4 linked regions of the Drosophila melanogaster genome follow. The protein of the gene in region 2 interacts with the protein of the main gene of each other region in a pairwise test. Each region holds a gene or a part of one and is shown on either strand. Other genes may lie near its edges.

Region 1 (7,469 bases), on a different chromosome or scaffold from region 2:
CGTGTCTGTGTATGCGTGTGTTGCGTGCGTGAGTGTGCGTGTTTTTTTTTCCTCATTTGGTGTGTGCTTTTTTTTTGTACATTGCGGAGACGCGCTCTTTTTTGTGGCAGACGGGCGGAAAAGATGAAAAACCGCAGAGAGAGCGTCGAAAATTGATGGGAAAATGTATAAAGTTTGTTAATTGATCGTTTTCGAAATGAAAGCATAGAAAAAGGAGCAGCAACGGCGGCAGCAGCAACAACAACAACAACGAGTAACGAAAAACGGCAAAATTTTTTTGTTTGCCTCGTATCGCATTTTCTCACTCTCTCTCTCTCCCGCTGCGTGTGTGTGTGAGTGTGTGTGTGCGCGTCACATATCGACGTCCCTCTCTTGCCACCGACAACAACAACAAATACAAAACGAAGGAAGGAAAGAAAAAGGGGAATAACGTGAAACATGTTTTTCTGTGGCAACAGCAACAACATAAGCGGCAGCTGCAACTATCGGCAGCAACAACAACAGCAGTATCATAAAACATGTGTGGAATAATCGCAGCGAATTGAACAAAGCCCAAAGCCTGGAAATAAAGTAACCAAAAAAGAGAAACGTCGAAAATCAAATGTAAGTAAGCCTTTTTATGCTTCTGTTTTTGCTGTTTGGTTAGGTTGAAAAAAGAGAGAGCAGAAAGAGAGTCGAAACTCAAGCGTTCAGCAATATACAGCGTGCTGTTAGGCGTTAACAGCGTTGCTGTTATGCGCCCAGCAGGCAAACCAATTGGACTTGCCGGCATTTTAAAGTCCAATTGGCTTGTGGCCATTAGTTTATTAAATCGATGTTTTTTCAGTTAAATGCGGTTTTATGGTATTTATTAAACATATTGCAATTTAAATTTGTCAGCTGGCCATTTGGTTCATTATATTAGACTGCAGTCTTTGTAAATGCTCATCTTGTTATGCGGAAAATGCAGCGTTAGAAGAGATTTCTTACATTTTTTTTGTATCTTTTTCAAAAGGACATTTAATTAGTTGGATTATACAAAAATTTGAATATCAATCTAAACATTTAGTTGACTAGATATTTTCGATTTATTTTATGGGTTCGGTTGCTTCGGTAATTGCTTAATTAAATATACTTGATGTGTTAATTAAGGACTTAAAAGTTATAATTCAATTTATACGTATTCCCTGAATTTGCTCTCTTTTATCGCTCGTTGCGCGCGCCCTCTCGCTCTCCTTCTCACTCTCTTCCGTTTCGAGTTCCATGAAGCGACGCCAAAATAGCAATAAAAACAACGACGCAACAGAGCCGCAAAAGGTGGCAACCCTGCTTGCGTTGCACTTTTTACACCCAACCGCCCACAATTTTTCCAAAAAACAAATACATAAGGGAAAAGGAGGAAAAATCCAAACAGCTGGCAGCCTCGCATTGGCAGCTGTGATTTTCATTCGTTCTTCCGCTGGACAAGATGGCTTTTCCACACTATCTCCTTCTCTATTCCCCCTCCCACTCTCCTTCTCCTCTTTGCGATCGTGTTTCGTTGCGTCTTGGCCTTGCACTCATTTCCCATTGTTATTGTTTATTTCGCAAGAATTACGACACTGTCAGGCGAATTTGTTGGTAAACAATTGTGTATTGAAGCAGCTACGGTGGTCACTCGATACGGGGAAGATCTTTAATATGTACATAACTGACAATACATTAATGATTTGTAATGATATGTGCAAGCTATTTAGTACGATCTTAAAAGTAGGAAATAAATTAACAAGAAAACAAGGATTATACAACTCGCATTTAGGTAATACTTCATATTTACGCTCAAAAAGTGAAACTGAAATTGTTGAAAAATCTCGAAACTCTTATCCAAATAGAGTTAAAATAATTTGCAGCGTTTAGAAAAACAGAATTGTGGACGTAGCATCCGTTAGTAGGGAGCGCATTTGTTAGTACGAGTGATCCCCGTACAGTGAATTCCCTTGATAGCGATCCAGTCCGTTCAGGATTTTCTCCCGCCGCATTCGCTGTTGCTGCCGTCGGCGCTGCCTGTAGAGATCCAGGAGAGCATTGCAGGTGTTCCTGTCGAGTGCGTAACCGCGCGCTCCATTGGCCCTTATGGCGACAGTGGGTAGGCGGTGAACCGACGACTTGTACAGCAAACTGCCGGTGCCGACCTTTTGCTTGGCCTCCACGGCGGCGGATGCGGCGCGACAGGCCGCCTCCTTCACCTGCTCGTACTCCGACTTAGCTTGCGCCACCTGGCGGGCCAGGCGGTCACCACGTGCCTTCGCCGCCGCCAGCATTTGGTTCTTCTCCTCGATATCCATGTTCGACTGGTCGATTAGGCTGTCCATTTCCGACAAAATGCCACTCGTCTGCTGTACGAGGGCCCTGAAAACATTAGTAATCGAAAAAGCATTGATATTAAAAATCGATATGTTATCGCTGGTAGATATTATGATAGATATAACGATATAATTGTTCCGCTTTTAAATTGTGTAGATAGTTGGATGGATTGTGAACAATATTGAATATTGAATATTTATCAATTATACCTGAATGTTTCGGCTTGAACCTCCGCTGCTTTGACCACGGCACAGGAGGCCTCCACGTTCGTCTCACTGTTCTGCAGCGAGCAGCTCACCTGTCCGACCACCTCCTCGGCATCCCGGATCTCCCTAGCGTAGTTGTCCACCATTGCCTGTTTGCCCTCGAGCACCGCATCGGCGGCACGGGCAGCGGAGATGGCCTTTTCCGCCAGCTGCATCTTCGCCTGCCGCGATGCATCTTGAGCGGCGGCCGCCTGTGCATCATTGGCTGCCTTGGCCACCTGGGCGGCATTCTGGGCAATGTGGGTGGCCTTCAGCCGCGAATTGATAATCTCGTCACAGGAGTCACAGTTGTCCCTATCTCTAATATTATTCCTGTCTTTGTCCCGATCCCTGTTTCTATCGCAACCCCTATTTCGATCCCAATCTCGGCCTCGATCCCGATCAATATTGCGATCTTTTTCTCGGTCCCTAGCGCTTTCGTCCATGCTTTCACATCCAGATTGGTAGGACGGTCTTGTGGTGCATCCCAGATAAGGGAATGGCACCACTGTGGCCCCCGAACTACCATTCCCATCGCCGTTGAAGCCCTGGGGAGATATGTCATCGTTGGTGTTGTCCAAATAGCTAGCCAGGGAGGCGTCGTGTTCGTTGTGGGGCTGGTCGAAGCTCATCGCACGGACACTCACAATGCGGAGGATGATAAGGAGCAGGGTATATGGTGGAAATATATACATTTTGAATCCGGAATTTGAGGAAAGCGACTCAGGCTGCTGCTTTCAAAACTACTAGATATTCCATAGAATATATACATATTTCAGGGTATTTTGCGATTCTTTACAGTTGGCTGGCTTTCTAGTACTTTCGCATAGTATCAGTTTAATTGATGATGGGAACCCCTTAACTTACCGTCTAAAAGAGCTAGAACGTATTTGTGAAACGGAAAAGCAATTGTTTGCCCTTTAACGATTTTTTAATTGAGCTGAGTGGTTGCCCATACTTTTCCACCAGCGCTTTTCCAGCTTTCCCATTTCCCATTGTCCTGCAGGATAAATGGCTGCCATAGCGATGGGTAATCAGCACCTCAGTTGGCAGCTTTCGCACCTTGCTCACCTTTCGCACCTTCTTTCTCCCTTTGCCCAATGCAGTGTAAATGCGTATCAAGAATACTTCATTAGTGCCCAATTGCGGCGCAATTGCGACGCTGACGCAGCCAACTGGCTGGCTAACTAAGTATCTAACTAGCTAGCGGCTAGCTGACTAACTAGCTAGCTGGTTAGCTGACTAGCAAGCACGTGTGGCGAGCGGAGAAAGGGTAGAAAGCGGCATAGGTGTGGGTGGGCTGGGAAAAGTCGCACTTTATCACAACAAACCAGATGCTAAGCACGTGCTGCCATTTGTTTTGGTTATTATTATTGTGATTCCAGTCTCTAATCAGTGCGGCCAAATAAATAAGTGTGCGGAAAACAGAAACCATGAATGCAGTTAACTGGCGGTGGGGAAAACGCCACCTGGCGGAAGTAATATCAACAATTGCAACGATCTGTAGATACAGATTCATAGATACATAGATAGCGCTATAATAGATATTTGCGTATTTTTCATTTACACTGAATATACTAACATTTATTCCGTGAGAGAATTCAAATTCTTCGTTGAAATTACGCATAAAAGTCAGGGAAAACATGCTATCCGCATAATTGATTTAAGATTCAAGATGAGTTATTTGAAAGATGAAATTCCATAGATGCAGAGGAAAAAAACGTTTTTCGGGCAACACATTATTAAGTGAAATTCATGCCGGCCATTCAGTTCCTTTGTTATATATATATATATATATATATATGTACATACATGGTATATAGTATCGTTATTGTAGTCTTCTTGTTCTTGTTCTTCCTGCATTCATTATCATTGTTGTTGTTGCTGCCGACTGGTCACCAGTTTACTGCAGTCTGCTTGCGAAACTGAAATTTTCAATGCCACTGTCAAAGCTGCGACGTCATCCGTCATCAATGAATGCGCAGTTTTCAATTACCATACAAAATACAAAACAGTCAGTACAGTGGCGGAAATAGGGAATGATACGGCCATGTTCTCTATAAGAAAGTTGCAAAATGGCAGAACGTTCAATTCAATTGACAGCAAGTGTGCAAGGGAAATCATACACTTGTTTTCCAATGTGATCTTATGAGTATCGCAAACTATGAAAATATGGTATCGTTCGCTCGAATAGATTTAGAGACTTTATAATACAAACCAAATGCTCATTTTATGTTCTTTTTGATTTATAGAGAAGTAAATTTAATCATTGCCAACATCATTTATGTTTTATTACCACATTTTATCATAATATTGTGCATTTGATAAGTTTTTATTTAACGCGATCTTGAGAGATCACAAAAACAACTTCATGAAAGGTTCTTTTTTAATTGCCGCTTGTTGTCTTTTGTATTTTCGCTTGCCACTTGTTAGTGTTTATATTTTTTATTTGCACATTTTTGCGCTATTGCGTATTGAGCAAAAATCAACTTTATTAACTGACCTTGTGTGTGGCCATGTGCCCCAGTGTGTGTGTGTGTGTGTGTGCGTGTTTGTGTGTTTGTGGGAGCGAGATGGCAGCAAAGCTCTGCGACTGCGCCGCTCACTTCACTTCGGTTCATTTCAGTTCATTTCGCTTCAGTTTCGGCAAAGGCAAAATCGGTCATTGAACTTTGAACCACCTCAAGCTAAACAAAAAAAAAAAGAAAAGTACAGAAAAATAAATAAGACAGCAACGAAAGAAAAATAAAACAGCAGCAAAAATAAATATAATAAACATAGCCGGTCAGCGGCGGCATTTACATTCTTCGCTCTTCTCTCCGCTCTTCTTCGCTTTCGATTCTTCTCTATCGCGCCTCGACTTGATCTACAACGCACTTGCTGCGGGGCGTGCGAGCGGGACGGGAATAGGGCTGCGGGGAGTGCAGAGAAAGAAAGCATAAATTCTTCGCCTTTCTTTGCACAATCGCACAATCTTCCATTGAAAAAGTGCTTTCAAAAGCGCAAAAACCGTTTTGATGTCGCTGATGTCCAATTGTTGTTGCTGCCACAGTGGTACCTCGCTATGCAAAACAAAATGAAAAATGCGTCCTAGAATTTGCAACTTCCTTGCATGATTTGCACTTCAAATTTGGAAGATAGCTAATATCCACGAAATTGAACTTCAAATTTGAGACAAAACCAAGTTATTTGATTTCGATTCAAGTTATGGAAGACGTGCCGTACTATTTCCTTGCCAAATTCCCTTAACTCTTCTCGTTCTTGGCTAATCAGCGATACTAATGAATACAGAAGAAGCGGAAAACGCCTACAAGGTATTTTTAGTAGACACCTAGAAAATCTGGAGCACGCACATAGCCAAATAAGTTTGTGTATGTAGGCAAATGTGTGAGTACGCCACCGTATTAATAACAAAACGTTTTCTTTCCTCTTTTTTTTTCTCGGGCGTCGCCACATGTTGCACTTTTAATAAAATCGAGTTCACAAAAAAAAAAAAGAAAAGGAATGCAGAAATAGAAAAAGACGCTGTTGCAAAAATATGATTTATTTCAATTATTAGTTTAGTAGCAGCATTTAATGTGCACGCAAATTGAATTAAACAAAACGAGTGCAAATGGAAAAAGTCACACGAACGATTTGGGTCACCACATGACGTGCTGTGCTCCCCTCTCTTCTTCTCATTCTGCGGTGGGTGGCTGTAGTGGGTGGGCGGTGGAGAAAGGCGAAAGCGAGACGAAAGAGAGCGCGAGCGGCAGGGCAACACACACACACATACACATGTGTACTACCACCACACGTACATTGGCGCAGTCCGACAGACAGACAGCCAAGCCAAGCGATTCTGACGTCAAACGGCCGCCGCCGATCATAAAGTTGTATTTTTTATGCCCCCGCTACAGTGGCTACTCGCTTAGTTGGCCTGCTAATATAGGGATTTGCGGTAAAACCCAGACCTCAGCTTATTGATGTTTTATTATTTAAAAGTGAAATTGAGCATATTTAGTTTGGCATATCTCTTAGATAAAATCGCTGATAGCAATCAATGTCACTATTCGCGAATGATTACTGTAATGTTAGGAATCTTAATGTGGCATTTTTAGTACTTTTCCCAGAAGTTGGGGGAGTAGACTTGTGATCCGATTGCGAAGATATTCGTAGACCACCCAGCCGCAGGACAGGGTTGCCAGCTGCACCAAAAGCCGAATTAGTTGGCCAACGTTTCGCACAGTGCGCCTTAGCTTTTTTACTCTATTGTTTTGTCCGTTTGTGTGGGAGTGCGTGGGTGTGTGTGTCGTTATTGCAGCTATTTATTGCTGCTTTTTGCCGATTTCGTGTTGGCCCCAAAATAAACGATGAAGCATGCAAAACAAAAAAAAACTGGCTGCTGCTGCCTGCGCTAAAAATAAACGCAATAGTAAATAAATAACGATCCCCGGACATCGGCGGTCGGACCGGACCGTCCGTCCGTCCGTCCGCATTGCAGAAAAGTGTGAAAAGTCAAATGAACATGAACTGATAATGATAACGTGAAAGCTGTTCGATTGTCGATCGCTGATCGTCGATCACAGTTGACAACAACGGGTTAACACTCGTTAGCCACATGATCTGCAAAAGATCCGCATCCGCACTCTGCGAATCGCTTGCTTACTTTATTAGTCACAAAGTGCAGGCAGGAGTGACGCATTTGTTTCTTCTCTTTTTCATTCCTCCCACTTTTTTTTTTTTTTTGGTACTGATTCCGATTCTGATTCACACCAGGAGAATCATTCACGGGCTGCAGTTTTCCTGCTCTCTGTATCCCGTTTTGTGGTTTTTGTTGATTTGGGAACTGGTTTTCTTCTGTTTTGCCGGTAAAATGTGTGAATAATTTCAGCAGAAAAGCAAAAAAAAAGCCGTGGAATA
Region 2 (7,511 bases):
GCTGAAAAGCTTGGACCCGGATTTGGCAGCCAATGTCGGAGGAGTACCTTCCACAGGAGCCTCTGGCGATAAACAATCAGATACAGACGACTCTGATGAAGAGGAGATGAACGAGATCGATCTGAACTGTGGCAACAAGGAGTTGTGTGTCCTGGAAGTGGACGATATCGAAGACTTGGAAATCATATCGCTGTTAATGGAGCCATATCCGCCGGAGGGCTTCCATGTGGTAAATACGCAGCAGGTGCCGGGCATGCTGGAAATGGATACGGTTAAGAATCTGCAGATGTTCACACAAGTGTGGCGCGCCCGACTCGAGGTGGGCCAAAGTGTAAACGGCTTCCCTAAACACTTTCAGAGGTAGGTCTAAACTTCATACTGGGATCAGCACATAAAAACATTTGCCTTCCCAGACTGTTGCAGACCATATACTTCAAGCTACGCACTATGATACCCTGTGCTATCTGCGATCTTCGCTTCCGACTAGATCTGCCAGAGACGGTAAGGAAAATGCTAGGACTTTGATCAAGAATGATTAAATTACTTCGTTCTCTGCAGGATCAAATTCAATTGCTAGTCACTGGCATGGCCATGGGCCTAAGCGATGCCAACAGAATGAAGTACCGCGGACGTGGACGCCCGGCTCAGCAGCAGCAGGCACCTCAACAGCAGAACGGATATCATGATGGCACGGTGCACGCCACTCAATCTCAGCCAGAGTTAAACGGAAAACGAATGCTGCAAGAGGAGGATTACATATTTCCGCTGGACGAGGATCAGATGGTGGACACACCCACGCCAACCAGCACCGCTATTCCGCCATTCGGAATGAGCTCATTCAAAATGCGAAAAACTTCACCATCACGTCTTAACAATCTCGTTTCGGGATTGCCTTCAACCGGAGTTAAGCCATTGAACGTTGGATCTGTTCAACGTAGCCGTTATGTAAGAACATTAAATATTAATGATGTCTTTATATTAATATTATATTTCCTTGACAGTTTCCGCTGCGAGATCGTTATGGAGTGGATGTGACGCCACTAAGTTTCATACCTGGTGGTCGTATAGATAAATATTTGGGCAACCTAAACTTTTTCTTTATTCGGGAGAGCACGTCGATCCGGGAAAATGGTGGCATCAGCGGATTTGTCCATGGCTTCATTACCGAACTGTTGGCTGTGGTGAGAGCACACATCGCTTCGCTGGGCGGAAATGCCATGGTCTCTTTTTACATCACCGAACTTATGTTGTTCGATAATCAGCACAAGAATCAGGTAAGGCAAACACAATGATCTACTTACCTTAAAGTTTTTATACTGAAATCTTGTATTCTTAGGGCCAGTGCCTGATTAGCATCGGAGGCGATGCTGTCTATGTGAGCTACCATGCCGATGACTGATATAAAAACTTGCGGGGCATATAGCGCATGTTTTACGCGAATCGTCCCAAAAGCGTATACTCTCTATTTTCTTCCGCTTAGCTAGAACTATCAGCTCTGCCCAGCAACTGGAGTTAAACTGAAGTTAAACTAATTCACGTTTACTTAACAATTTTACAGCATCTGTAGATGGATTCTTTATGCAATATTTGAACTGTGAGGAATCGTTCTAATCCTAACTTAGTAGTGCTAATTTTTTCGGTCTTGTTACTTGTTTGCTGGATGTTTTTAGCGTTAAATCAATTGCAATTTCTGTACATAGTTGATGTTTATTGAATATTGAATTTAGAACGAGTGCGAGACACAAGTATAATATCGATATATACAATTGTTGCAACCACAAACATGACACATATACTCGTACCACTAGATATCCAATTTTGGCGCGTAAAATACAATACATACAATATTATGGAAATACAACAATTGCTCAACTAAATGTATTTGATTCGATTAGTTTGGTGTAGTGGAGAGCAGCACAAACATGACCCACAGATGTAGTAGGGCCACGTAGACGATCACAGAGACCCGCATCATGGGATAGCGACGCAGAAACGTTCCCACCCGAATACCCATGGAGTCCGCCTGGCGAAGGGCTCGCTTGAAGCGTCGTGCCACACGATTATCGAATGGACTTGGATGCATGAGAAGCGGGAATTGTGCTTTGACTAGGTAGAACTCATATTTATGTAATTTCTGGTACTCGCAGAATGTTAGACTTACCATCATCTGTGCTGTTGAGCATAGTATGGCGGGAGCTGCCCCTTTGGCTCTCCATTTCCACCAAGTGCATGTTTTGCTGTAGCTGCGTCTGTGCCTTTTCGTGCTGTAGTCGCAGGGCATTTCTCTCACTCGTAACTCTTTCCAGAAGACTTTGACGTTCGACCAGTGATTGGGTTAAAGCCTTTAGCCGAGTCTCGTAATCGCTCTTGGCTCCCGTGTTGGCTTCCTCGCTCAATCGCTGACGCATCTGCTGAAGCTGCTGCTCCCGCTCCTGGAGTCGAGTGGCGGCAGCAGCCATTTGGTTACTAAGTTGCTGCCGCAGTGAGGCCAGTTCCTGCGTGAGCACTCGCTGATCGGATTCGGAGGTCACACTGTGTTCCCTTGCCTGTCGCAACTCCTTTGCTAGTGTTTCCTCGCGTTGGCGGGCAGAGCTTAGTTCCACCTGTCGTTGTCTTTCCTGGGAAACGTAATCGTCCAGCTGCAAGCGCGCCTTTTGCAGTTCCTCGTTGGCATGCTCTAGTTCTTGCTTAAGTGACTCGTGTTCAATTTGCAGAAAACGCGTTTCACTGTCCTTGGACACCAGGTTTGGATCTGCGCCCTCCTCCGTGGGCTTCGCCTTCAACTCTGCGATGAGGGAATCCTTTGCTTGCAGAGCTCGCTGAGCCTTGATACGGTATTCCTGAAGCTCCTGGCGCTGCTGCTCCGTTTCCTTTGTTTGCATTTGCAATTTGTGAGCGGCGCTTATGTATTCCTGCTGCAACTTGGCCAGATTGGTTTCCAGTTCGGAGATGGAGTGCACATACGCCATGTTAGCTGCCTGGGCCTCATTGTAGTCATGAACCGCCTTGTCCCGCTCTTCGGACAGACTTTTAACCAGAGCTTCCAGCACCTGGGTGTGTTGATGCAGATCAAACTTTTCGGTTTCGTTATTAAGATCTTCCAAGCGCAGACGCAGTTCATCTCTTTCGGCCGTGATTTCATTCAGGGCGATCTTGAAGGCAGCCAATTCATTTGTGTCCATTGAGTTGGCGGATATGTCGGGACTGTTGGAGAAACTGGCCGACGTGGTCATCTTTTGGCGCATGTCCTTAGTGACCACGGAGACCCCGCCATCGCTTTTTACACTTGATGAGCTATTGGCCCCCGAGCGCCGCACTGGCGACAGAGTGGACTTCAGGGATGTGGACAGTGATTGGGTGCTGCTCGTCATGCTCCTACGCATGGGATCCGCTGAACCTGTGGCGTTCTCTGTCTGCAGGGCCGTTGCCGCATTTTGGTCCAGCTTGTTCAAAATGTTTTCGGCCTTGTCCGCCAGTCCTGTGATCCAGGATGACATATTTTTCTAAGAAAAACAAATCTCTTCGAGTAAAACACGTAAACAATATCACACTGTGTGCCCATATCGCTATCGACTGCGGAATGGTCAACTCCAAAGTTAAGGTCACTCTAAAAGTAACGTAATTTTGAAAAACCTTTTTTCTGATCAAAAAAATATTTATATGAAAATGTAAGGATTGGTTTTAGAAATAAATGTAATTCCAATCTTTCTTATCCGTGCAGAAATGTTAATTTATTATGCTTATCAAAACTCTAGGGTACAAATGAATATTTTATTCAATACTCAACATGGGCAGTGTAATCTTCGCAACTCACAACTATAAACTATCTCTTCACTTTCCAATGCAAAAGTCCTTGAAGACCACGTCGAGTATATCTTCGCAGCTGATGTGTCCGGTGATGCGTTCGATGCAGCGCACGGAGTTGCGCAGCTTGGAGGCGGCTATGGCCATGTCCGGGTAAACGTCGGGTCTGTAATCTCGTAGAAAAATATCAATGTTCTCAATGCAGCGCTCCAGTTGCTGACGGTAGCGTGTGTTTGTGATGCGTGGATTCTCCGCCCGCGGTTCTCCGCACAGTTCTTGCAGCTGCTTCTCCAGTGATCCCAGAAACACGGGCATCTTATCGGGCTTATGGCATGATATGGCTAACACGTTGGACAGCTTGTCCAGCTGCTGATGCTCCTCATCCGTCAAAGTGTCGGTTTTATTGGCCACCAATTGCAGACGTTTCCCTGAGCACATGTCCAGAGGTATATCCAACTCGCCCAGATAGCTATCTACAAACGGAGCAACTGCGTCGTCGTGCGTCAGCTGTGCAATGTTCTTGGCTTCTGCTAGGAGCAATATCAAATCAGATTGGACTAGACAATTCTTGGCTCTCTGCATTCCCTCCTGCTCTATACTATCCGTAGTATATCGGCGTAATCCGGCTGTGTCGGAAAATACCACCGGGTATCCTCCGAAATTGTGCATTGTTTCTATAATATCCCTTGTGGTGCCCGCCTGATCCGTCACTATGGACACGGATCGCTGGCAGAGGAGATTGAGCAGACTACTCTTGCCAACATTGGGTGCTCCAATGATCACAGTGCGGACTCCGTCGCGGAGGAGCTCTCCCTGCCGCTGGTCACTCAAATGCTCGCGAATCTCACGCTTTACCGCCTTTAGTTCTTTGCCGAGTTGCAGGATGATGCCGCCTTCGATTTGCTCCTCTTCGGCGAAGTCTATGTAGGCCTCCAAATGGGCAGCACAGCGAATAAGTCGACGGCGCCAGTTGTCGTAGAGTCGAGCCAGTGCTCCAGTGCTTTGTAGCAGTGCCTGGAGAAAGAAGAGACTTGAAACAAAATTTATGAGACCCTAAGTCCACTGTCTACCTGCTTTCTTTGCGCCTCCGTTTCAGCATGGATAAGATCGGCCAATCCCTCCACCTCTGTCAAATCCAGTTTGCCACCAAAGAACGCTCTCTTTGTGAACTCTCCCGGCTCCGCCGGCCGCAATCCATCCACTTTTCCCAGAGCATCCAACATGGCCGCAATGACTGCCAGGGACCCGTGTACCTGAAACTCGCAGGAATCCTCGCCAGTGAAAGAAGCCGGTCCCGGAAACCAAAGTAAGAGCCCACGGTCAATCATCTCTTTGCTGGCGGGATGGTAGAAGGATTTCAGATACGCCTGACGAGCCTATATGGAAAAGTATTTATAAAGGGAACTATAAGTTTCACTATCATAGAGGTCTCTCGTCTTAAAACCTGGCAGCTTGCCAATTATAACAAATTAAGCAGTTCACGAAATTATTCAATTTATTTAGTCAATTATATGTAAGTTAGGAGAAATTTGTTTATTTTTATACAGGATACATCTCCCAAAATGTATATAAATAAGCAACAGGTCTTTTCATTTGCATACATATATTTTGGATACTAGAAAACAAAACTATACACTGCACAGGTCACGACCCCTCATATATGGAATAATAAACGTTTATATCGATTGACTTGCCTTTGGCTCGTATTCTTTGTTTGCAACAATTGCTCGGAGGGCCTTCTTTGTTTGCGGCCCGGAGACACGGATCACGGACACACCGCACTTGACATGACCGGAACTGAGGCTGTAGATGGTGCATCCGCTGCTGGCAAAGCGCCGGAAACTGCCCAAGAAGCTCTGGGACGCGTTTCTGAGAAGCGCCATCGCCGAAAAACAATTAAATCCCAACCGCCGAATAATAAACAATTGAACGTGATATTAAGTGTGACCGCGGAATGGCCGTTACAAAAATATATCATTCCACTCGGAGATATATACTAAAGAATTGTGCGTAAACAATTATGGAGCGGTGGTAAGCTTGGGTAAATCTCCAGTCCCGACACAAACCATTTTGACCGAAATATGGGATTTGAAACATGGGAACGTTTTTTATTTATTTCTTTGTTATTTGGATAGAAAGAATTCACTTTTATTCAATTAGACAGAAGTAGTTTTTGTAATTTTTTGTCAAATAATTATCAGATTTTTTGTCAAAAGCGTTGGAAAATATCGAATGACATATCTCGATGAACTTGTAATTAAGCCCTTAATTGGTTGGAGTTCAAATTTGGTAATTTTATTTTTTTGACGTTTTTTGAAAAAAATAGACGTTGTTACCCCTTATAAAAAATGTGAAAATAGAAAAAAAAAAATTTTTTTTTTTATTTCACCAAAAGTTGATAAAAATAATAAGCATTGGTAAAAAGCTGTAAGAAATAGTTCTTATTAAGTCTCTGAGACCAATTTTAGCCAAGCTGTGATGAACTTCTCAAATTCCCTCTCCGCTTTTGACGAAGACAAATACACTTAAATATTTTATTAGTAACAAATATCACATCTAGTGCAGATGTGTTACATTTTTACAGTTACATTTTCGGATTTGGACGCTTTAAAATCTGATGCCTTCGACACTATCAATTTGATCAGGCTACAAGAATGAGCGATTGCTAGAATTTCTGATGCGAATACAACTGTCAAATATAAACGGTTTAGAATAAGAACTGACGTTTTCGGGTGCTGTAGGCGTTTGACAACCGGAGAGATACAATGGGTGGTGGACAGCTATCGGTGGCACGAGCAAATTTGTTGCGTTGGATCATCGCCGCATTGGTGTCCCATTGGTTGATAAAGGCACGGGCCTCGTCGTCACATGGCTTTGCCGTACTCGGTCTTTCTTCCTGCAAAAAAGATTATTTCAAATTGATTTTTGTTTGAAATATTCCAAAAAATAGGCACCTGGGCTCGGCGGCGTCGAGGAGCCTCAGTTTCCATCGACTCCAGAAAGTCCCGTCTACGATTTCGTTTGGTCGCCACACTGTCCGGGAAATTAACCCAGGTGCACTCGTACTTGCGCTTCTCCAGTTCGCGCGGATGGTACTGCTCGTTATCGAAGCGTTCCTGATCGTCCCCGACCGAGATGCGTCCGTGGCCCTCGTCCTGCTCCCACATGGAGCGTCGCTTGTTCTTCTTGTACACATCCGCTTTCTCCCGCTCCCTGAGTATCTGATCGTCTGGCAGGTATTGGCTGCCCACTCTGGGCCGCTGGGAACGCCTGGCAATGTGACGCGTTGAGGCGCATTCGATCCGCGCACGGAGGAGCTCGATGCAACGGTTCACCATCATCCGAGTGCCACCGTGGATGTTAACCATTCTCGGAAGATATTTTTTTTTTTTTTACAGTTTTAGAAATTTTATTAAAAGAATTAGGGAATTGTGTAAGTTTTAGTATTGGAATGCCAAAATGTAGCCTGCTTCCAAAGAGGCGGCGTGTAACGAACTGAATCCGCTCCCAACAAATCGAGGTGACATGTAAGGTGCGTACGAATCAAGGCACACCTGATGCTGTAAGTCGGCTCACCTTTCTTAATTAGCACTGTTCACCTGGCGTTAATTTTCCACGACTAGTATCTGTCACACAGATCAGTTGAGTTCTCAGAGTGGCGGCATGAGGTCTACGATTTTGGTACTTCTGTTGATCGGAGCCATTAG
Region 3 (7,827 bases), on a different chromosome or scaffold from region 2:
ATAAACGGCTTATAATTTTAATTAAATCTGTGTCACCAATTACCAAATTATATTAATAACGAAATACCTTTTAGAATCCCTGGACTTTTGGACGACGAACAAGAACCGGGCCATTTGGTTCCGCGTGTACAAGGAGCAGGCTGATTGGGTGCCCATTCTGGCGGAGAACGGCTTTGATTTCCATCATGCCAAGACCGGTGTGGTGGTCATGTACCGCTGGTTGCCGGAGCACGAGTCTAGCAACCTACCCACCTACGCCCACACGCTAATGGGCGTCGGCGGACTGGTTATCAACGAACAGGACGAGGTGCTGGTGGTGTCCGATCGTTTTGCAATGATACCAAACAGCTGGAAGCTGCCCGGCGGCTATGTGGAGCCGCGGGAGAATCTCATCGATGCGGCAATACGAGAGGTGGCCGAGGAGACGGGAATCCGCACCGAATTCCGCTCAGTGGTCAGTCTGCGGCATGCCCATGGCGGCACCTTCGGCTGCTCCGACATGTACGTGGTCATCGCCCTAAAGCCACTGAATTTGGACTTTACGCGCTGCGAACGCGAGATAGCGCGCATCCAGTGGATGCCCATCGCGGAGTATCTGAAGCATCCGCAGGTCCACGAGACGAACAGGCAGTTCGTCTGCACCTTTTTGGACTACCAGAAGCGCGGCCTGACCCTCACCTGTCGCGACGAAGTGCATCAGGTGCTAAAGAAGAAATACAATCTGTATTACGTGGATCGGGAGCAGCCACAGGAGCAGCAGGATAAAAAGAATTCGTGAGACTTGTCGGTGCAATGGCCAAATCCTTAGTGCAATTTTTATAAAGTCCTTTCTTCCAAAAGCCAGCAGCATCACAACTGCGCATTCAAATGTTCACAATGTAGTCAATAAATGAATTTTTTTGTATATAATTATATGCATATATCAATTAAAGCTCACACAGCCTTTTACAAAAGCTTTTCTTTTGATACCATTTTTAGAAACGCCAATAATTTAAAATATGGCATTATTTTGAATATGACGCCCAAACATGGTAAATACTTCCTTAGAAGGTAAGCCAATAAGGATTAAGGATGTAAGCTTCATACTTTGAAAAATATGTTTATTAAAAACAAAAATGAAAAGAAATTATTATTCTCTCCTGTTTTTTTCAACTTATTTTCAATGATATGCAAAAACCAGAAGTCGCACAAATGAGACGAAACTCGCATACGTAATGATTCTAAAAAGTTGTGGTTTGATGTACTATAATTTCCAAACGAAACATAGGCCATTTATTGGGTCAAGTTGATTTTAAACTCTTTGTTGTACGAATGCCATCTATAGACCCGTGGCCTCGGATATCGGCCAGATGCGGCAGAGCACGCGGCTCCGGATGAGGCCCACCGGAATGGGTCCGTAGTAGCGGGAATCCGAGCTGTTTCCCTTGTTGTCACCCTCAATCCAAACGTGTCCGCGCGGCACATAGTCCTTGACCATCACGGGCTTCTTCTTGTCATCCGAATTACCACTAAACTCCGCCTCAATGGGAATGGGCTTCTGGATTAGCACCTGATCACCGGAAACGGCCACGATACGCTTGCAAATGAACTGATCGGCTTTGATGGGCGATATGGCGATGACTATGTCGCCGGGCTGGTAGGTTCGCCAGTGTTTCGACAAGCGCTCGGTGAGAAGAACGTTGTCCGAGTGCAGGGTGGGCTCCATGGAGGGTCCTTTGCACTGGAAATGGTTGCATTAATGTGAGTGTACGTACTTTTCCGCAAAAGAAGGATATCAAGTGGAAGTTACACAAGGTGGAAAAACAAGTGGAGAGTACCTTAATGCATTCACACGAACTATGTGATGCTGGCACATGTTGGGCAAGTATACCCGCCCAGGAACTTCATCCTAGACGCCTTACCAGGACGAAATCGCCAATGTACTCGAAGGTGCAGTGTGTGATTGCCGCGTAGGCCACCGTGTAGCGCATCAGGCGACCCAGACGGGAGAGGATTTTCATGTCGGCGATTCCGGCGTTGGCTGCTCCACATGCGCCCCTAATCAGAGCATCTCCCGTGTCCAACGACCTGGTATTCTCTCGAAAAAAGAGCTCCTCCAAAATCGAATGTTTATGTTGTGTAAAAATCAGGGCTGCACAGGCGGCGCAGCTGAGCGGCCAGCCAGGGATGTGCCAACGATAATTTTGATGTCTAACGATAAATTTTGTGTGGCGCAAATTTCAAAAATCGATGGCCCAAAAGGTTAAACTAAAATTTAGCGCATAGAACCACATATATTTATTTTCACTTTTCAATTTTGACTAAGTCTGCCAGGCCTGGCATGTATGGTACATATATGTTAATGTTTCAAATACATCTAACATCCATTTGTCGTATATATTTCATGCAGGTCTCCAATTACATTCTTTAACTTACGATTAGAAATACATTAGTTACATTGAGAGAGTTGCTGGGACAAGGTGGTTAGTCAAACCCAAAACGTGCACAGTGAGATAAATCCTGGAAATAGACACTCATTCATAGTATATCGGCCTGCATTTACGCATTGGCATATATATACATATATAGCGTGTAAACTACGCTAACTAAAGGCAAAATAAATATGCAACAGCTACTGACTGGAACGAATCGCTTAAATTTCAATTCAAAAATCTATTAAATACAAATTGTCGGGTGATTTCACCACCCGTCTAACTAAAATATATCAAATAAAATCAACAATCATTGCAATAGCGCATTAAAAATAAATTAAATTCCTACTACGGCCTATTTGGTTGCCTAATGCCCATATTTCATCTGATCGCAATTCGTCTTCAAAATTCTGTTTTTTTAGCTTGGAATCAAGAGTTGTTTCATTTAGTACTTTCTGTTGATAGAACTGTCGCTGGAAGATTGATCCCGGATCGCATCCCATTTTCACTCCACTTTCTTGCCGCTCACCGGCTCCGACTTCTGGCGCCGCTCCTGCCGCTCGCGTACATCCACGGCCGCCAGATCGATGCCCGCCACGTAGGCGTGCATCACCGAGATCAGGGCCTTGAGCACGGCAAAGGGACCCGTGAGGAAGGCGAGTATCTTGAAGAGCGATGCGCCGAATACTGCAATTGAAGTCCATCAACGGATTAGATACGTTTCGCCAGCTGAAATGCAAAGCATGTGCGTGTGCGTATACTCACTCAGCGGGCCGTAGGTGAAATGCAAGAGGTACAAGCACACGTAAAACAGCTCATTGACGCAGCACATGAATGTGAGTATGTCCTTCTGGTAATACAATCGCATTATGAAGTTGTCATTCACCTTGTGCGAGCTGCGTCCGACCACAACGCTCCTGCAAAAAGACAAAGCCACGAGTCATTAGTTTCCTTCCATTCCTTGACAGTCCAGACGTCCAGCATCTTGCTCTTTCCCCTGCCCCACTTACGTCTGCATGAAGAGCCAGTGACAGGCCACGTCGATGGCGATGGACAGCTGGAACCAGAACATGTACCGGGGATAGAAGTAGGCCAGGGTGACCAGTAGGCCGGTGGTGCCGCAGCGATCGGTCAACTGGTCTAGCATGGCGCCAAAGCGAGTGCCTGTGAGGTAATCGAGTATTTAGTAAAGATTCCATAGTACCATATGATAATTACTAATATTTTGATATACATATTTTGGTTGGAGTACCCTTTCGTTAAGACTCTAAATCATCCTGCTAGCATACAACAAATCCAAGTGCAAGATCATACCTTTCAGTTTGCTACACTACTATATCATAAACATTGCATGGTATCTGCAATTTGTTTCTTAGAAGGCTTCTATCCTAATGTTTTTCCTCCTATATTGCTAACTACATTGCATAGTTCCAAGGCAATATTAGCCATGCTTTCTATCTATTCTTCAGCCCCACGTCATCCATCGATTGGCTGGATAGCCGTGACCATATCGGGCTCTTTAGGGCGTGCCTACAATTCCACAATATCGGCAGATAACCAGTACGGAGGAGACAGGTGTTTGCAATGCGCTAGCGGCCAAAGTGCGCGCACAAATCAAATACAGACATATAGCTGGCATGAGCTGGCATTTCGATATCAAGGGCGATCGCATGGTTAATGCTTACTTTGGTTAAAGGCTCGGGCTGCTTGTCCATCGACGGCGTCCAGGAGGGCGGAGGTTACATAACACCAGCCGGAGATCACATAGTTGGTGGACATGAACCAGAAGGCGATCAGGGCCAGAACGATGCGGGCGTAGCCTGGAAAAGATCAATATAAATCAGCACATATGCGTGCATCATACGTATAGAATCATTGGAGGTGACTCAATTGGGTTGGACGAAGCGGCTCTTATCGCTGAACTTGCGCTTCGCATTGCACTAGCTGCCAAACAGCCCCTATTAATCCAATTAGGGAACACTAGAATCGCTATTATTGCGCCGCATAAATCGAACATGCGATTTGTTTACCTAGCTGGAGCACGGAATAAAACCTACAAACAGCCACTCACCGATCAGATTTGGCACAAAGATGAAGACGTTATCGTGCTCGGCAATTGTCATTTTGTTTCGCCACTTTGGTTTTTCGTTTATTTTGCGATCTTCTAGCTTTGCGGCTTGTTTTTATCCAATTAAATGCCAAAAGTGCTGCAGAAAAAACAGTGGAAACAGAATTTGCTGTATCTGGTGTGACCGCAGCGTGACCTTTGGAAAAAACAAACAAAGACTTGAGAGAAAATACCGAACTATACTGGCCAACAAGATTTCAGATGGTTTCCACTGACACACATCTGTTTCTAGTTTCTATTTTTCTCTTCCAATAGAAATTTAGTAATTAGTATATCATTTTAAATGTATCAAATACAAATTAAAGGTCACTAGATTATTAACATGAGCTACCAAAACCGGGCAACTAGTGTAGTTGCTTGTTAAATGAGTTTTGACAGCGATTTGCGTGCCGTTTTGATACATTTTCGCTGCCGTTGAGCAGTGTAAATGGATCTTTGCATACCGCTTCTAAGCTAGTATATTCCTCAGCGGGACATGGCATGGTCACACCGCCCGCGATAAAGTTTTCACAAATAATAATAAAAACACAATACAGGCGAAAATATAATGCACAAGTAGCGCGACCCGAAGTAACCTGCGCGGAGAACCACATGCTGTAGCATGGATAAACTCCGCGGCGGCAGTCTGGGCGGCGGCGGATCCTCCAGCGGCGCGCCATCGACGGCTCCGGGCCATGAGCACCACCAACTGGAGCAGTATCAGTACCCCAAAAACCTGATCGAGCAATATCTAAGGGCCTCCAGCAAGATCAAGAAGTTCGAGCGGGCCGGCTTCTTCAAGTGAGTAGCTACGGCCCAAGTATGGGCAATCAGATACCTTGCAGATCATTGCGTTTGATTAGCAAGTCATTGCCCAATTTATCGCTTTTCCTCCATCTTCAAACTATGTTTAGAAATACGGGTGTATTAGAAGCCCTCGAATCACGGAATACAATCTCAATACTCCACTGTTTCTCTAATTCCCAGACGCTTTGCGCCCAGCGTGGTCGATGTGCAGGCGGACTTCCAGCGACTGGCCTACAGCTTCGAGGAGTCGGGCATACAGCAGTATGCGGCCATGTGCCACATTGGCTATGCCAAGTGCGAGTCCTACGGCGGCGCACCGCAGCGCGAATCGGAGGCCTATCTGCGGGCAGCTAGATCCTTCCTAGCGGCGCACAACGAGTCCGGGCGACTGCATCTGCGCACCCGCCACTCGGGATTTCGGGAGGGAGCGGTGCACTGCTATCACCGTGCGGCGGATCGAGCGGTGGACGGTTGCGTCTTCAAGGCGGCCATTCTGCGCGAGTTGAAGCAGCTGCAGCGGCAGCTGGACAGCACCAGCAGCTTTGCCTCGCCCACCCATCAGATCCATGACCTGGAAATCAGCGCCGAAACGAGTGGCCAGCGCGGCGATTTTCGCAGTGCACTGCAGCATTACGACGACATTGTGGACAATGTTTACGAGCGACGCGGTGCTCGCATGTACGGTGAACTATTGCGGCGCGTTGAGGTGCTGCGTCTGCTGCTCCTAGTCCATTTGAACCTGCCTCCCGCACGCCAGTCACCCGCCCACATCAAGCTGATCGAGTACTACTACAACCTGGCGCAGTTCGAGTCGCTCCCCTGTTCGGCGGACGACGGTGGATCCGCGGAGCGTCCGGGAGCATTTGTGCCCGAACAGCAGCAGTATGCGCTGGCGGAGATTACGTGCGCCTGGGTGGAGCGTAAAATGTGCGATCTAAAGCACCTGCTGCGCGACTTTGGAGCCGAATTTGGATCGCTGAGCGACATGGAAAGGCAGCTGCTGGCGGTGATGCATGCAGAACTGGCCCGAAGCTACTAGATTTTAGACCTAAGATCGTACTGTACATTATTTACTACTGGATCATTACCACTGAATGAGAATGACACATGCAACTATCGCTTAAGTGTAACCAAGTCTACCAACTAACCTTTGAACGTGCCTACACGCATAAAAATTGAATTAAATTAACAAACGAATGACCAGGTGAATGCAGCAATAAACAGAAGGTGCGAAGCGCAATGAAATGTAATAGGATTTGTGATTTGTACAATAAATGAAGAGGAATGCGCATGATAGTGCGAAGATAAAGATGACTAACAAACCACCAACTTGTTTCTAATCAATCCAACAGATGTTCTATGAAGCCCCCTATTAATAGTAATGCAATATTTTGGTCATTTAATTTGTTTATTTTACCTTTGTCAAGCAACTTCTGTTTTTTGTTTCTTAGCAATTTCTCAATTAAGTTAGCTAATTAATGCGACACTCTTCGGGTGCCACAACTGATATTCCGAATCGAATTTCGTGATTTCTTTGTGTTTGCTTACAAAACTTTTTTTTTTTTTGTTTTTCGCTGGAGTTTACAATTCCAATTTGTTAAATATCCTATAATATCTGTTTGTTTATGTAATTTGTAAATTTTCATATATGTATGCATGTACGTTTCATGTAATACCCATTAATCCTTCCTAAGCCTGTTACAATTTCCATTTACTTTGCATTGTGTTTTAAATCGAATCGAAGAATATTTAATTGTCTTGTTCGAATCCGCGAGCAACTAAATCACGGTTCCGATTTGGGAGGGCAGTTTAACATCGTTTCTCACACAATTTGCTGCGACTACTATTCGCTTAATCATTCATACGTCTGTTGTTGTAGTTTAGATTTTTTAATTTTTAAATATATAGTTAAGGCTTAAATAAATTACAAAAAAATAAAGTACACTTTTCATTTTTTATATATATGTTTACATGAAACCTAGCGAAGAATTAAACGAAATTATATAAGCGCAAGATCACAAGCAGTTTTGTATATAGTTGGTTGGTTGTATTTATAAGTTATAGTTCTTTCTGCCTGTCCACTTCGTAATTGTATATATTTATAATTTTATAACTTTAATTCGACACGTAAAAAGAAAAAATTCAGCTAAAATTTGTGTGTTCCTGTTGAGTTGTCAACGGTTGTGTTACGCATGGTTGTGATTGGATAGGTTTGGATTGGGTGTTCGGTTCGTTCTAGTTTTATTGTTGATTATTTTACTGGTTGGCCGATCGAATTGTGACTTCACTATAGCGTAGAGTAAACGCAAAACTAATTTCGCACAGAATGGATTGCAGCGAACGGGCAGCCCAATAGCCGGATGTCGCCCGCCGCCTATTGAAGAGAAGGGATAGCGGTCTGAATGTCCTTTCGGTTGAGGGATGCGTTTGGTTGTGTGTTTGGGTGTTTTGGATGCGCGACTGTGTGTGTGCGAGTGTGTGGCCGTTGGCAGCTATCTATCC
Region 4 (8,865 bases), on a different chromosome or scaffold from region 2:
CCAAGATAGCCTCGTTGTCCGAGGAGCTGTGCATCGGTTGCGGTATTTGCGTCAAGGTGGGTCAGCTTACCTACAACTGCTGTAGTTCCCGGAATAACCCGTGCTTTCAATTCCCCAGAAATGCCCCTTCGAGGCCATCACAATCATCAACTTGCCCAGCAATCTGGAGAAGCACACAACGCATCGATACAGCAAGAACTCCTTCAAGCTGCATCGTCTGCCCATTCCGCGTCCCGGTGAAGTGCTCGGTCTTGTGGGACAGAACGGTATTGGCAAGTCGACCGCTTTGAAGATCCTCGCGGGGAAACAAAAGCCGAACCTGGGGAAGTACGCCAATCCGCCCGACTGGACGGAGATCCTTAGCTACTTCCGCGGCTCCGAGCTGCAGAACTACTTCACCAAGATCTTGGAGGACAATCTGAAGGCGCTGGTCAAGCCGCAGTATGTGGATCAGATCCCCAAGGCGGTGCGTGGCGCTGTGGGCGATCTTCTGGATAAGAAGGACGAGAGGGAGCTGCAGACTAAGATTTGTGAAATGCTGGATCTATCGCACATCCGTGATCGTGAGATCGCTCAGCTTTCTGGCGGAGAACTGCAACGCTTTGCCATCGCCATGGTATGCATACAGAATGCAGACATCTTCATGTTCGACGAGCCGTCCTCGTATTTGGATGTTAAGCAGCGTCTGAACGCTGCCTTGACCATTCGATCACTCCTGCATCCCACCAAGTAAGTTGATGAATAATGTGCCATTGTTTAAAATTATGACGTGGTTCTGTAATATGCAGGTTTATTATTGTGGTGGAGCACGATTTGTCTGTGCTGGATTACTTGTCTGACTTTATATGCTGCCTTTACGGAGTTCCCGGCTGCTACGGTGTGGTTACTATGCCTTTCTCTGTGCGCGAAGGCATCAACATTTTCCTCGATGGCTTTGTGCCCACCGAAAACATGCGATTCCGCACTGAGTCACTTACTTTCAAAGTATCTGAGTCCGCTACGGAGGAGGAGATCAAGCGCATGAACCACTACGTATATCCCGCCATGGTCAAGACCCTGGGCAAGTTCGAGTTGACGGTGGAAAAGGGTCACTTCAGCGACTCCGAGATCCTGGTGCTCCTGGGCGAGAACGGTACAGGAAAGACGACGTTCATTCGCATGCTGGCCGGTAACCTCCAACCCGATGGCGAGGTGGAACTGCCTATGCTGAATATTTCCTACAAGCCCCAGAAGATTTCCCCGAAATTCCAAAATCATGTTCGCCATTTATTGCACGATAAGATTCGTGACGCCTACGTGCATCCTCAGTTTATTGCCGATGTTATGAAACCCATGAAAATTGAGGAAATCATGGACCAGGAGGTGCAGAACCTTTCCGGTGGTGAGTTGCAGCGAGTCGCCTTGGTCCTGTGTCTTGGCAAGCCAGCGGATGTCTACCTCATCGACGAACCCTCTGCCTACTTGGATTCAGAGCAGCGTCTGGTGGCCGCCAAGGTTATCAAACGGTATGTTTTACATAGACTTTAAATCTGCACACAAATATTGATGGTATCTCGTTTTAGTTACATTCTGCACGCCAAGAAAACTGGATTTGTGGTGGAGCACGATTTCATCATGGCCACCTACCTCGCCGACCGTGTCATCGTGATCGAGGGTCAGCCTTCAGTGAAGACGACAGCCTTTTCGCCGCAGTCGCTGCTAAATGGCATGAACCGCTTCCTCGAACTGCTTGGTATTACGTTCCGTCGCGATCCCAACAACTTCAGACCCCGCATTAACAAAAACAATTCGGTCAAGGACACAGAACAGAAACGCTCCGGCCAGTTCTTCTTCTTGGAGGACGAAGCCTGCAACTAAGACAGGATCACGGGCAACTTCGATGGGACAGCTCGTTTCTCTATGTTCTCCTCAGCTTTCCTTCGTTCATTTTGCATTCTTTCGTTGAAGAACACATTTGCTTTCAAATTAATTTGTTATTGTTGTCGAGGATTGCGTACAATCGAAAATTGGGGATTAATTGTACTTGATTAAAGTGAGTTTTATATACGTTTTTACAGCGAAATAAATAGTGAACCGAAACAACAGAATGTTGTTTTAAATGAGTCTAGCAAAAATAAACCAATTTTCTTTATACAAAACTGCATTTGAAAGTTCTTTTTTCTAAAGTGGTGCTCATAGAATCCTGCGAGTTTAAAAGAGCTAACGTTTGCAAATTAACACGTATTTATTGCACTTAAGCGATAATTACTCAAAATACGCACAATACAAATGTAAATTACATACAAATTTCTGTCATTTCAAATTTGATCACAATACGAAATCGACGCACAATGAATAACAGCTACAAACATTTATAAGTATATAATTTACAATATTTGTTTTTAGATATACCAACGCATGCACAGCATATTTTTAATGTAAACGCTTTTGAAGCTTTAAATTTATGCGATTTAATCAAATTTACATACAATTTTTCGAAAAAGGCAAATCTTTTGAGTTTATAATACTTAATTTGATCTGTGGCTTGTTGACCACTAAATAACTGACACAAGTAAGTACTATAAATAGGTAATTTTGGAGACTTATACGCTAAAAATTCCATAAAAGTAAATGCGTCAAAAATTGACCCAAATATTTGATAGTTGCATTGTGCTGTTTCGAATCCCAATCTGAGTCTGAGAGTAGAGAGCGTTTTACAAGGAGAGTTTTCTTACTGTTTTGCCGAACTTATGCAATAGAAGTATAGTTAGTAAAAATGGACACATGTATGTCTAAAATTGAGTGTTTCAGTTGATCCAAAAGCAGATCCTATGGTTTATCCAATAATTTAATTACCTTGTTTATTTTCTTTTTCCTTCAGCATAATTTCTTGTAAATGGAACTTTTAGTGACTTAACATTAGTTTTGCTATGTGCTTAAATAATTGTCGAAATCTTGCAACAGAACGTATCAAAAATAAGTGTATATCATGCAGGAGATTAAAAGATAGAGAACATTTGAGGTAGCCGACTATGTATCGTTTCCACTTTTCATGAGGTTGGACACTTCCTGGCCGAGCTCCATGGCTTGTTTGCGCAACTTGAGGGCCTGAAAGATACATGTCATCAGTAAGCATTTCGCTATCAATACTCAAGTGGACTTACCTGAGTCCTGAGTTCCTTCTCGCGGGTGACAAGTTCCTGAATTTGCGACATGACTGTGACTGAGCTGCGTTGATCTATCACCCACCGCAAATAGAGATCTAAAATGCATGTTTGATGAGTAATGTTTCATATATTAAGTTCTTAAACATACCACTCCACAGCTCTAAGCTTATGGGCGCCACCGATGGCCATATCACATTGGCATTAGGCTCGTACAGCGGATTCAAGAATGTCTGAAGGACATCAGGCCGGTTCAAATAAGACCACAGGCTCGTCGTCCTGGTGTGCACATTCAGTTCGTTTCTCTCCCGCTCTGAATCGCACAGGAAAGTTCCATACTGCGAAAAGTGACTGTGCTCAAATAGAAGGATCAGCAGTTGAGTGCTGAATTCAAAGCTGCAGGGGAACTGCGTGTAAAGCTGATAAATGCAATCCAGAAATAGGACGAAGGTGGCACCAGAGGTCTTATTGCGTGTCTGATTTGGTGTATAGCATGAGTAGCGATGACGCGAGGCGAACGGATGTCCCGCCTGGATCCACTCGCGCTCTATCAAAGCCTGCAGGCTGCAAAGGGAACACGGCATAAATATCTTTTTCAAGGTAAGGAGAATATGATTACTTACCCCCTTACAGTCCGGCAGTCCGGATTGAGAATGATCTGCACCAGTGAGGTGACTATAAGCGTGGAGTCCAACCCCTTAGCACCGTGCACTAACACTGGACTTCCCTCTTGGTCCAGGCATTGGGCCACCACACAGGAGGCGTTCAGTGAGTTCAGCACAAGACTAAGCCAGCCGCTGTTCTCCAGTCGCGATAGCCATTTATCAGTACTGCATCCCAAATCGTTGCAAGCTTCGATAAGCCGAGCAAAGCTGTCCAAAATAGAGGCGGGCGAACTGACGTTTCCAATTGAACGATTTACCTTCTTCCACTGCGAGTAGTGCAGGTCAGTTTCCGTATTCGATTTGCCCTTACCCCAAGTGTCCACGATGAACCCCTTCCGACTGCGACCCAGCACCAGATTAAGGATAGCCTCGTCAGCTCTACAGCGCTTGATGCCCTGAATGGACAGCGGCTGGGAGCTGCGCATTAGTGTGGCCTGCAAATATGAATCATTGAATTAATTTAATAAAATTTGATGATGTAGATGCAATGACTTACGCCATTTTCATGCCTGTAGCTGAGCACGGGGAAGCGGCCGCCATCGCGGAACGCAGCGGAGAGCACTATCTGCTCGTCCGTAATTGCTTTAGGTACAATTAGCGTGGCGCCATATGTGGCACAGACGCTGAAGTCTCTGTTGACGTTGGTGATGCGCCACTCGCAGGAGGCCTGGGGACTTTGAAGCGCACCACCTCCCACACCACCAACACCACACGCAAGGGCTTCTATCGCATAGCCATTTTGCAGAGGATGGGGAATGCCGGCGCCCACAGTCAACGTCGATGTCGAAGTTGATGGCATGCAAATTGTTATGTTGGCCACATTCGGCGAGGACGCACCGCCCATGCCAACCCCGCTTATGAGTTTGGCGAACTCCAGCTCGGGCCTGTCGTTTGGATGGGGAGGTTAATTGAATTGTAGCCAATTTGTTAGTTATGGAGAAGCCGTGTACCCACCTAAACATCGTGTAGCCGTCCTCTAGGATCGAGTACATGGGCCGGTAGAAGAATGGATAGAGCAGTTCGGTGTTCTGGATGGCACTGAGTGCCTCCAGCGATGCGGCCACGTTGAAGAACTCCTTGCCGCACTTTATCTCCAACGAAATGATGCGCAGGTCCTTGCACTTCAGGGTGATAATCCCACCGACCACGATATTCTGCGACAAACTAGGCTTCTTCTCCACACAGTCGATGTTCTTGTGGAGCAACTGAAAAGAGGGGGATGAGCATGATGAATTTCTAATTCAATTATGAGCGCTCCACTGATGCCGAAGCACATCGGATTAGGTGGGCAGGCCTCAACCCACTTACCCATAGCTCCTGGCTGGTTTCCTGGCGGGCGCTGAGCAGCAAATGGTGCCCTGTGATGCACAGTGTGCCAACTGTTGCACCCGACGCCCCCGCATTCGATGGGTCGTGCAGCAGGACACCGTCCAGCTTGGGGGTCTTTATAAGGTCGGCGAATTCCATGGTGTCGCCCTCGGCGGGGTGTCCGATTTGATTTGGCCCCCACTAATTAACTTTTTGCATTTTGCCCCGGCTATCTCCTGTTGCCACTTGATTGCTTCTGTCGACGCCGCCTTCCACCTCCGCCCTTCTTCGCCACGGTTATCCCGCCTTTCGAGTCCCCTTTTTTGAACCCACAGCAGTGCGTACGTCACCGGTTCTGGCGGGGATTTGGCGGACTTACGGCACTGCTGCTCTGCAGCTAACAATGAAACTCGTTCCGGGCTGCAAAAACTTTTGTTCCACGCCCCCGCTTACGGCACAGATTGCATTTCTTTCTTTCTTTTCGATTCCGTTTCCGACCGACTGTTCTGTTTTGTGCTTTGTGCCAGTGTGCCCGTCGCTCACTGAGCCGGAAAGCTTTGTTGTGGCGTCCACTACCACACTGCGTTTTGCCTATGAACCGTTATTGCCACTAACAAAGAACTAAAAAATTATCAGGTTTTTTAATATGTAAAAATATTTTTAAATTGTTTTGCAATTTCATTTAGTTTAGTTTTGCAGGAATGATTATATTTACGCTTCATTTTTAAATATATGTTTACGACAGTTTCATATATGAAACTAAAATGACAAAAAAGAAAATAAACTAAATAATTTATAGTAATCTAACAGTAATGAAAATTATTTGCTTCACGTCTTTCGTACTCAGATTAAGATGCAGAGAATAAAAATAAAACACATTTCGCTATATCTGAATCCCTTTTAATAACTATTCTTAAATTTGTAGTTAAACCATTCGAAATAAAACCATGTGGCATACTGGTTGCATGTCACACGCACATGCGGTCCTTTAATCCGAGTAAAAGTAAGAAATGATTATGGTAGATTGCAGTATGGCTAAATTAAGTTTTACATATGGTACACAGACAGCGATGCCAATCGAAGGTCGTGGTCCGCGCCAGAAGAAGCGTCGAATACTCTTTGGAATGCGCTGCAGCAGACGGTGGCAAGGTGACTTAGTAGATGGCGTCTCCACCAGCTCAAACGACTCCCGTCGGGCGTACATTTGTTGGCGGTGGGGCGCCACTGGGCCTTGTCATGATGTCCACGGCATTCTTGAAGAACTGCGTTTTCACAAAGTCTGTGGCGGCGGAATTCAGATCCTTATTGGCACCATAGTTACACTTGACGTAGCCATACAGATTGGCGGCATTCAGCGCAATGGCGATCATTACCAGCAGTAGCCATTTGAACTTCAGGCCGAATAGGGCGAACAGGAAGAAGAGGCCCCAGAAGACGGGACAGAGGATGAGTCCCAGCCAGAAGATGCGCTGCTCGTTCTTGTTGACCCGACTCTGGTAGGATTCAGACTGCGTTTCATTATCAAGGGCAATCTAGTTAGCTATGCTCGTGACTCACGTTCTTTGACTCAAACACCCAGTGCGATACGCCATCGTCGTCGACGTAGTTCCACCAGCGGAGACCGACCAGCAATCTGCCCGAGATGTTCTTCACCGTCCAGAAGTCGGCGGACAGGAAGAGCACCACGAAAACGAAGCTGGTGATGAAGGAGTCGCTGAACCAACCGCAGAACATATAGATCAGGATGGCGGCGCCCCTGAAGAACAGGTGGAAGAAGGTGACGTACGGGTGCCTGTGGAGTACACGCGTTGGGTTGGGTTGGGGTAAATGGAATTGATCAACAAACATTATGGTTCTGCATACGTGTATTTCTGACCCGCGCGACTGGGATCCCGCATCTCGTCCTCCTCGCCAAAGGGTATCGTGTCATCGTCGAGCAGCGGCACCTGTGTAACACGTATGTGGGATTAGTTTGGCTTGCCTCGTTGTAAAATATGAGTTTTCGTGGAAAACCTCGGATCGTATTGTCAGAATGGCACCCCAATCAAGCAGCTTGTTAGGTGTTAGTGCGGCATACATACATTTCTTACCGTAGCGGATGCCATGCTGGTGTAGGGAGTGACTTCTAATTCCTAGTTGGGTGCAATTTTCATGGATTTTCGTGGTTTTTCAGGGGATTTAATATATTTTCTTCGCCTGGGACGTTGTTGTTGTTTCTGCCTGCGTAGCCTTCTATCGTTTTCGCACTGAGTCGATAGCTCGCAGGGGTGAAGCACTTCTTCGACTTCGATTGGGTTGGCAGCACCATAAGTAATCGAGCTTAAACCTATCGTATTTGAAAATTTTGCAAACATTTTTTATTGAGCTCCCCTTCATTTTGTTTGTGGAATTGTTATTTGCAATAGCAGCGCCAAATGAGAAAAAAATGCCACTTTTAAGTTATTTATGAAACATAATTTTTTACGCATCATATTAAGTAATAAAAGCCGAAGCAATATTATCTAAGACGACTTTTATGTTCTGTGACCCGGATTCTCAATGTTACATGGTTGTGGCTGAAAACCAGCAGAGTGTGCAAAAAGTTGTACTCCAACCGCAGTGGAAGCCATTGAAATGCAGCATCCATCACTTGCCAAGTTAGCCCACAAACTTCATCAGTAGCTCGTTGATCGTCTGCTCTTTCTGTCGAACTTAACTACCAACGTTTCAAAATGGAAAAATGCCGTGCCTCCTCTAGGATAATCATAATCGGAGCAGGAGTTTCGGGCATAGCCGCCGCCACTCGACTCCTGCAAAACAATTTCCAGAATGTTCAGATCCTGGAGGCGGAGGATCGCATTGGCGGGCGGATCAACACCGTGTATTTTGGTGACAACGTCATCGATTTGGGAGCCCAGTGGTGTCATGGAAAGCAGCAAAATTGTGTATACGACATGGTCAAGGATATGGGTATCCTGCACGAGACAGGCGACTATTACAGTCCCATAAAGAGGGTGAGATCCAACAAGGAGGTGGTTCCACATGAGTTGGCCTGCAGGATTCACGACATTGCTGTGAAGAGCATGCCGAGTGGACCTCACCCGGTTGTGGGATCCTTTGGCACCCACCTGACTCAGACCTTCTGGCGCAAGATCGAGTCCGAGCTACCCCAAGTGAATAGGGATGTGGCTAGTGAGGCCTTGAATACATTTGCGAAGCATGAAAGCTCTATTATTGGTGCGGACAATCTTTTCGAGGTCTCCGTTAGGGAACACATCGAGTACCACGAATGTGATGGCGACAAGCTGCTCCACTGGGGAACGAAGGGTTACCGGCGCTTCCTGCGGCTGCTGATGAAGGTCAGCGCGGATACGCCAGAAGAGCTGGGTCTACTGGAAGGACGTATTCAACTTGATATGAAGGTCATCAAGATTGAGTTGGCGTGCCCCCGTAAGGTAATCCTGCGCTGCCAGGATGGGGATTACTTCGAGGCGGACCACGTCATCTGCACCGTTTCCCTGGGAGTCCTGCAGGAGCAGCACGAGAAACTGTTCGTCCCGCCGCTGCCCGCAGCCAAGGTGAATGCCATTCGCAGCCTCACCCTGGGCACTGTGAACAAACTGTATTTGGAGTATGAGAAGCAACCTCTTCCTGACGGCTGGGTGGGTTTCTTCTGCTTTTGGCTGGAAGAGGATCTGATAGAGCTGCGAAAGACGGAATATTTCTGGGTGGAGGGTATAACCGGTGTACACATGATCACTTGTCAGCCC

What was found.
Region 1: the proteins of Golgin84 (region 2) and CG12985 interact in a two-hybrid assay, tested with the Drosophila melanogaster proteins (one large-scale study listed by BioGRID).
Region 3: the proteins of Golgin84 (region 2) and Pis interact in a two-hybrid assay, tested with the Drosophila melanogaster proteins (one large-scale study listed by BioGRID).
Region 4: the proteins of Golgin84 (region 2) and CG5026 interact in a two-hybrid assay, tested with the Drosophila melanogaster proteins (one large-scale study listed by BioGRID).

Annotation. Positions count from the first base shown.
Region 1 is NC_004354.4:17,879,538-17,887,006, reverse strand, and holds CG12985 (uncharacterized protein), read right to left. Parts: upstream 3,290-7,469; 5' UTR 3,200-3,289; coding exon 2,532-3,199; intron 2,368-2,531; coding exon 1,923-2,367; 3' UTR 1,769-1,922; downstream 1-1,768.
Region 2 is NT_033777.3:24,354,380-24,361,890, forward strand, and holds Golgin84 (Golgin-84), read right to left. Parts: upstream 3,560-7,511; 5' UTR 3,498-3,559; coding exon 2,162-3,497; intron 2,107-2,161; coding exon 1,892-2,106; 3' UTR 1,691-1,891; downstream 1-1,690. Other genes in the region: CG6454 (uncharacterized protein), read left to right, coding at 1-360, 414-501, 559-945, 1,002-1,274, 1,337-1,399; CG18528 (uncharacterized protein), read right to left, coding at 3,832-4,818, 4,875-5,180, 5,499-5,687; CG5762 (uncharacterized protein), read right to left, coding at 6,512-6,700, 6,759-7,172; CG33339 (uncharacterized protein), read left to right, coding at 7,468-7,511. UniProt on the Drosophila melanogaster protein: May be involved in maintaining Golgi structure and in intra-Golgi transport.
Region 3 is NC_004354.4:15,699,088-15,706,914, forward strand, and holds Pis (phosphatidylinositol synthase), read right to left. Parts: upstream 4,684-7,827; 5' UTR 4,535-4,683; coding exon 4,483-4,534; intron 4,232-4,482; coding exon 4,097-4,231; intron 4,001-4,096; coding exon of another isoform or gene 3,942-4,000; exon of another isoform or gene 3,726-3,941; intron 3,576-3,725; coding exon 3,422-3,575; intron 3,329-3,421; coding exon 3,177-3,328; intron 3,099-3,176; coding exon 2,917-3,098; 3' UTR 2,364-2,916; downstream 1-2,363. Other genes in the region: CG8128 (uncharacterized protein), read left to right, coding at 75-778; CG9240 (uncharacterized protein), read right to left, coding at 1,319-1,720, 1,902-2,000; Hap40 (Huntingtin-associated protein 40 kDa), read left to right, coding at 5,141-5,319, 5,506-6,364. UniProt on the Drosophila melanogaster protein: Catalyzes the biosynthesis of phosphatidylinositol (PtdIns) as well as PtdIns:inositol exchange reaction. May thus act to reduce an excessive cellular PtdIns content.
Region 4 is NT_037436.4:8,965,325-8,974,189, reverse strand, and holds CG5026 (uncharacterized protein), read right to left. Parts: upstream 5,663-8,865; 5' UTR 5,276-5,662; coding exon 5,117-5,275; intron 5,014-5,116; coding exon 4,763-5,013; intron 4,693-4,762; coding exon 4,305-4,692; intron 4,243-4,304; coding exon 3,767-4,242; intron 3,708-3,766; coding exon 3,295-3,707; intron 3,242-3,294; coding exon 3,144-3,241; intron 3,088-3,143; coding exon 3,010-3,087; 3' UTR 2,438-3,009; downstream 1-2,437. Other genes in the region: pix (pixie), read left to right, coding at 1-56, 119-729, 789-1,505, 1,563-1,857; CG5021 (uncharacterized protein), read right to left, coding at 6,295-6,624, 6,674-6,908, 6,980-7,062, 7,198-7,221; CG5653 (uncharacterized protein), read left to right, coding at 7,828-8,865.